2 linked regions of the Coturnix japonica genome follow. The protein of the gene in region 2 purifies or fractionates together with the protein of the main gene of each other region. This does not show direct contact. Links are inferred from orthologs where the notes say so. Each region holds a gene or a part of one and is shown on either strand. Other genes may lie near its edges.

Region 1 (3,634 bases), about 38 Mb from region 2:
TAACAATCCCCCTAAAACATAGATTCATGTGATCAAAAAACAGAATCGTATTTGAAAATCATAAAAGCAAAGTGAGAATCATTCCTCTGACGGTTAACAGAGGAATGACTCAATACCAACACTTAGACTTTGTAATTGCTAACAAATTAAGTCAAAAAGCTCATAATTTACAACTGCTATTTTGATTATGCAGCACAACATGCATGTCCAAATAATAAAAGAACACAGAAAGTTAATTCTAAACCAGCCTGCTCATAGAGGACATGCAGAGAGCATGAGAAGTTACATGCATGTGTAACCATTATATCTTACAGGAATTCTTCCTCTACCATTATCACTGTTTTATATCATTAATGCTTGGTCCTACTGTGCGCAGTTATAAGAAAACCCATCTATACCATTCCAGAACTACCTTGGAACAATCTCTATCCAGACTTGAAAAATGCACAGTACAAACTCAACTTACTTCTGTATTTCATCAGTTAAGCAAAGTATGTGCTCCTGCATCCTGCTCAGTCGAATTTCATATCGTACTTCCTTGGCTCGGGGATGGTAGTTCCTTGTATAAAACCCCCTCCAGCAGGCTTGAAGCTTGGTAGCTGCTTTAGTCATTCTTTGGAGTTCATCTGCACCTCGATCAACAGCAGCTAAAGAATCCAAATTTTCTCCTGCCACCTTCTCAGTGCAGACTGTTGTAACTCTCAATTCAGTGCCAGGCTGACCATGCAGAAGTTGGTCTTCAGAGGAAGCTGAAGAATTGCCAGCATCAGTCTGGTTAGCTTTTACCAGATCAGAAGATGATAACTGCACCCTCTCCTTCATTTGCTCTTGAGTTTCCGCACTTTCTGTCACTTTGTTGGAGTGCTCTTTTGTAAGCCAAGAACTTTCTTCTTGCTTGTTAACTGTTTCTCTTCTATTAGCATCCTTTGCAAATTCAAGTACAGTACTATCATTATCTTCTAGATCCAAACTGATTCCACATAACTTCGGTTCTGAAGTAGGAGACGCTGGAGACAATCCTGAAGCAACTGGCATGAAAGTAGACTCTGAAGATAACAGGCTGCTATTTAGCTTGTCTTCATCAGTCTGTACGTCTTCAAGGTACAGCTCCTTGCGACAATTTCTTTCATGAAGAAAAGTGTTCTTTACTGCGTAGGAATGATCATCATTCACACTTGGTCCAACCCAGGAATTCTTCTGGATGACACGTTCTAGACAGGCAGAAAGACATTTTCAGAAGTCACACAGTGTTTCAATAAAATACTTCAGTTCATAGAAAATAAATCTGTATTTTATTCCCACAGGTAAGATTATAGGCGCAAATTTACACCTTACCACTTTCAAGTACTATCTGTGGTGGATGAACTGGACTGCTGTGCTCAGAAGTAACGGGCAAAGTCCTGTTGGAAGCAGATGTAGCTGGTCCTTCATTTTGGTTTTGACACATCAGCTGCCTCTGGTGGAGCCTGAGGACAAAGTTTCAACAGATTTTATATTTTAATATTTGTTTTTGGTACATGAGGCATCTGAAATAAACTATCAACTACTTTGAAGTAAACAAGAAATCAAACCGTTTCTAAAACAAGATGCGAGCTATAGGTAGGTGCCAGCCTACTCCTAATAACAGGACTGCTCACAATGTAGGGAACTACACAGGACACGCTATGCTTGTATGCCTAAAGAGTTTGAGGAATGGACTCAGGTAACAGCATTGCCACAAAGCCATTCTTTACAATCTGAAGAAAGAGAAAGGTTAATTCAACCTAGCGAAATTAAGAGATCATGAGGTAGATATTAGAAAATCACTCTGCCTTAAAGATCCTGTGTGTATACGTTTTTTCTTTGTGATAGAAATCTGTGATGGTAGAGTTTATATTAATTACAGTCCTCGTACAAATCACTTTCAATGTTCTACAGAGCACAGACTGCCTCTAGAGTGCCCAGCAAACACTCCTGCTGCTCTCTTGTTCCTCATTCCATTCATCCTTTACCTCCATTACTCTTCCCATCTTTGGCTCTTGCTATTGCTTTAAAACTCTTAAAAGGAAATATCTAATACATAATGAGACAAACAATCGTATTCTCAATTACATTCTCTAACAGTGGAGAAGCAAGAAGCTCTCACCTTTGCTTACTCAGTATTTTTTCCAGCTTGGCATCTTCTTCAGTCTGGAGACCGTATGTAGATATAAGAGGACAAACAGTAGCCAAGTACTGGACTAACTGAACATGTTGCCCAGGTCGATACGATCTTCCTTTACCTTGACTGTAGAGCCATTCTGCTTTCAAACTGTCAGGAAGAGAGTTACTATTAATACATATATAGCATACACCTCATAACTTTTCTTTGAGCCCCGCTCCTCTAAGAGCTACCAAAACACTGAACGTCAACAGTGTCCAGATACCTCCACTGTCATACAGATAGCAGTGATACACACAGTGATACAGTAAAGACTGATGAAAAAACATAATGATACAAGCCTTCTTGGCCACCTGGGCACACTGCTGGCTCATATTCAGCCTACTGTCCATCAGCACACCAAGGTACCTTTCCATCAGGTAGTTTTCCCAACTACTCCTCCCCAAGCCTGTAGGGTTGCCTGGGGTTGTTGTGACCAAAATGCAGGACCCAACACTTGGCCATATCGAAACACATCTAGTTTACCTTGGCCCATCGATCCAGTCTATCCAGGTCCTTCTGTAGTGCCTTTCCTCCCTCGGGCAGATCAACACTCCCTCCCAACTTCGTGTCATCTGCGAACTTACTGATGATGCGCTCAATCCTCTCATCAAGATTATTAATAAATATATTGAATAGAAGCGGCCCCAGTTCCAAGTCCTGGGGGACACTGCTCGTGAGTGGCCACCAACTGGATTTAACTCCATTGAGCACAACTCTTTGGTCCCTGCCATCCAGCCAGTGTTTCACCCAGTAGAGCGTACACCCACCCAAACCATGGGCAGCCAGCTGCTCCACGAGGATGTTGTGCGGGACAGTGTCAAAGGCCTTACTGAAGCCCAAGTAGACCACACTGACAGCATTACCCTCATTCATTAAGCAGGTCACCCTGTCATAGAATTAAATCAGGTTTGTCATGTGGGATCTACCATTCACAAACCCATTCTGACTGAGCCTGATCCCCTGCTTGACCTTTAACTGGTCACTTGTTAACTTTAGAAGTATCACATTACCTTTCTTTCTGAGAAACCATATATCCATCAAGAACTTTAAGGTTGAGACACCAGCTGACTATATATGGCCTGTAGTCAAAGCCAGGGACTGAAGGTGTGGCCATCACGCAAGGATTGTTCATTATCGACAGCTGTTCCAGTTGAGGAAGAGAAGCCAGGAAAGAAACCTTGAGAAAATAAGACATATTTATTAACTGAAGAGAACCATTAGCTGCTTACAGAATGGAACAATTTGCCTAATTACAGCAGTACATCTCAAAAAACAACAACATTACAATTGCATTGAAAATCACACTTGCTTGTTAATCTTACCTCATTTAAGTCTCTGATTTCATTTTCTGCCAAAGAAAAAACAGTCAGGTTGTGAGGTAGGCAAACGGGGGCGGTACGAAGTGAAGTTATAATATTTCCATGCAGCAACAAGGTCTATAAAATAGAAATA
Region 2 (3,533 bases):
CTGAGAAACTAATTAAGCTACATCCTACATCTACTTCCACTATTTTTGTGCAAAGATTAGAGGAAGTAAAAGGAAGTATACTCATTCTATTTTGAAGATTCTTAGTGAAAGATTTGACTTGGCTTCATAGTAAACATTATAAGACTGCATCTAAATTTATGAAACATTATTAAGTATTTGAAAAAAGATGGCACAAATAATAAAGTAAGAATGTATAGTGGTTTGAGAGTGGGCTTTTATTTGCGCTACAAAACTATACATCTATATGTATAAAGTATAGAAAATGGAAAAATTCACATAGTAACTGTACATTTATTTACAAAAATACTTCTAGTTTGGCTGCTGTACTGCAAGCATGTTTTCCATTCTCTATTCTTGAATTTTGTACAATTAATGTAAAAATAATTAACGTTGTAAGAACGGAGGTGACCACAACGCTGTCTACTGTTAAAATGCAAGACAGACAGAATAAATTACAGTATTGTTGATCTGGAATTTACCATACATAAAGTGCTTTCAGAGTTTCTGAACTTCTGGTTAGAGTTGAAAACTTGGACTTTTCCTTAAGAACATATATGACTGCAATTACTGTTCAGAATAATATTGCAAACTTGATGGGAGAGGTAAAACTGGTTTTCATTTTGACTGGTGTATGTGAATACTGACTGTAATCCATTGACTTAATCAATTCAGCAAGCTGCAGAATGTACCAAATCATTATGACTTCAATACCTTTTTTTTCTTATCCCGGAATGACAGACAAAACAGTATTCTGTAACTGCCCAAGAATTTATTTTCCTTATCAGTACTAAGGAAACTAAATGTTTAATCAGCAGAACTATTGGCTGGGCTATCCACTTGCACGCCAAACTCTTCAGAAAGCTTCTTTAATCTTTCTTCTAAAAGAATATTTTTTTTTAATTCTTCGTTATAGTTGTATTTCAGATCCTCAATTTCTTCAAAAAAGGAAGGATTGAAGTTTTCCAGTTCTTTTCTCAACTTTTTTGTTTCTTCCTATTACAGAGAACAAAGGGATATCATCTGTAATCAAAACTTAGGAAATACTTGTCTTCAACAGCTTTTTTTCCTTTTTTCTTCAGAGACAAGAGTGTTAGAGAACATGCGTTCTACAACAGACAAATCTACTTGGGAAAATTCACTAACAATATCAGCTTCATAGGCATAACTCTTAGAAATTGACTTGTTTTTGTGTCATTTAGGGTATTAAGTAGGTTCTTCTAACTGACTATAGTTGTGATCATTATCTTTCCCAAGATCATCTCTGCAACTCACCTTCAGCTGCTCTTTCTCCAACTCAGAAGCTTTCAGCTGTGCCTGAAGGTCAGCTACTTCTGTCAGTAACTTATCGTTTTTATCCTTTGAAACTTCACTATTTCCTGCAAAAATCATTGACTTGATAGCAAATTACAGGTAAGTATAATCAATCACATAAATTTGTTACAATAATACTTCAGCTGTTTCAACTGTAAAGAGATGCAGTGTGTAAACTCAGTTCTGATCAACAACCACCAAAATTTCTAATCATCCTGGCTATTCTTTGGTTCTTCCACCAATTAGGTAATGGTGTATTATTCTTGTTACTGAATGCAGTACTCAAATGACCAGTCTATCAGCACATTCCTGAAAAATACATGTGCAGTTTCTCTAAATTAAATACAGAAAATTTGGAAAAGAGAGTTTAAGGATCTTATTAATTATATTCATGATTCAAGAGCATGTGGGTTTGTTTGTTTGTTTTCTTCCTGGTGTTATGGCAGCGTGCTGCTCTACAGCCCTCTTTGCTTTTGCTGTGGCTTTTTCTGACAGCTGCTAATCTTAAATCATTCACAGGGCTGGTATCCTGAAATAGACACTTGTTTCCTAGAAGCCTGGAATCCAAGGCAAGAGGAGTAAGCTGGAAGGTTTCAATGAATGACTGAAGTTTTACAAGCAGTATTTGAGGTTTAGAAAGCATGAAATACTCACTTCTTGGAATGAGAAATCTTGCAAAGATTCCAGCCTTTTGCTCAAAATAATTTTTTACTAATACTAACTTATAAATATCTTAGGTAAATTCACAAACCTTAATTTGCTCCAGTTTATGGTATACTGCCACTAATAAAACCATAGAAATATTTGCATTATATTATTTTGGACACATATTGAGTAAAAATAGTTTCAGGCCTGAACTACACAAAAATTGTTATTTTATGTACTGAAAATGATTACCAGCTGCAGGATCTTCACTTGTGTACATGTGTATCTGGTGCTTATAGTCTTCTATCTGGCGTACTAGTTCTGCTTTTTCTTCCTTTAATTGACTATTGGTTAAACTGGAATATAAAATAATTTTTTAATAATTTAAAAATCTCATCATGTTTAGGAATATGTAATACATAATTAAAATCTGCAGTGGCTTTTAGCTTATCATTCTCATTTCATATATGTTGGCTGAGAAATACAGTACCTTAAAAGCTGAAGCTCCCTGATGAAGCCATGCTCTGTCCTTGCACTTTCAGGAAGGTTGCTGAGAAGCTCAATCTTTTTTTTAAAAAACAAACAAACAAGACATTGTCTTTAAAACAGTATCCACAGATCGTGCATTTCACATGGAGTTAGTTACTTTGACGTAGTTTAATAAAACGAAAGAAATAACACTAATATAGTAGGTGGTGTAGCTAAGTACTAGGTGATCACAAAGAGTGGAAGTAATAACCTACATCCAGTTTCTGCAGTTTCTAATTATCTACAGTACTCTTAAAGCTAGAATGTGCTGCATATTTCATCAAGGGTGGAAAAAAGTATTGAAGAGAATGTTAGGAACATAAATTGAAACATCAGAATGAAAGTTATAACACACTAAAGGTACTGACATGTTTGCATACCTAGGTGTCCAATTTTCTTTGTGTCATTTGAAATGCAAGTAACTGCAATTAAAACTCAAATTAATGTACATTGACTAGAAATGATCTGTAGTCATAAACTAAAAGCAGAGAGGGAGTTAGCCTGTAGACATACCTTTCAGTAGAAGATACAAGAGCAAAAATTTAACGTCTCTTTAATTAGATTTGTGTTTTATTTTAATACAGTGATTATTTATGAACTCTTATAAGGCTACTGTTAGGAATAGATTTTGGTTCTATTATTACCTAAAATTCTTTGACAATAGATCGGTTTCTTTGAATTGGAGTGAACCTTGACCACATCCTTTCATTTGCATTTGAGACAAAACAAACCTGAAATTGTGTTGCCCCAGATAAATGTCACATAATAAAAGAATTTCTCTTAATTTTGCTATTGGTAAGCAGGATCCATCAGTTCAGGAGAAGCTCGTTCATGTTAATTGTGCTGACTTTAAACCAGAAAGTGAAAAGCAAACATAAGCAAATAGTAAAGTAATTGTTTTACAAAACTCCATTCCATGTTCTCTTTCTATTTATTGAATACATTTACTTGGTTAGGGAATGTATGACTTTTGTGTATTCAGCACTTTACTCTGAGAAGTGCCAGTGCAAGACATCCAGGGAAGAAAA

What was found.
Region 1: the proteins of CEP290 (region 2) and CEP97 purify together in Homo sapiens (co-immunoprecipitation; 4 studies listed by BioGRID and IntAct, with this or other methods). This does not show direct contact. The link is inferred for Coturnix japonica from reciprocal best matches to the Homo sapiens genes CEP290 and CEP97.

Annotation. Positions count from the first base shown.
Region 1 is NC_029516.1:76,478,850-76,482,483, reverse strand, and holds part of CEP97 (centrosomal protein of 97 kDa), read right to left. Parts: intron 3,619-3,634; coding exon 3,505-3,618; intron 3,360-3,504; coding exon 3,193-3,359; intron 2,291-3,192; coding exon 2,126-2,290; intron 1,467-2,125; coding exon 1,336-1,466; intron 1,212-1,335; coding exon 467-1,211; intron 1-466. UniProt on the Homo sapiens protein: Acts as a key negative regulator of ciliogenesis in collaboration with CCP110 by capping the mother centriole thereby preventing cilia formation. Required for recruitment of CCP110 to the centrosome.
Region 2 is NC_029516.1:38,920,713-38,924,245, forward strand, and holds the end of CEP290 (centrosomal protein of 290 kDa), read right to left. Parts: intron 2,542-3,533; coding exon 2,468-2,541; intron 2,334-2,467; coding exon 2,230-2,333; intron 1,398-2,229; coding exon 1,294-1,397; intron 1,015-1,293; coding exon 826-1,014; 3' UTR 771-825; downstream 1-770. UniProt on the Homo sapiens protein: Involved in early and late steps in cilia formation. Its association with CCP110 is required for inhibition of primary cilia formation by CCP110.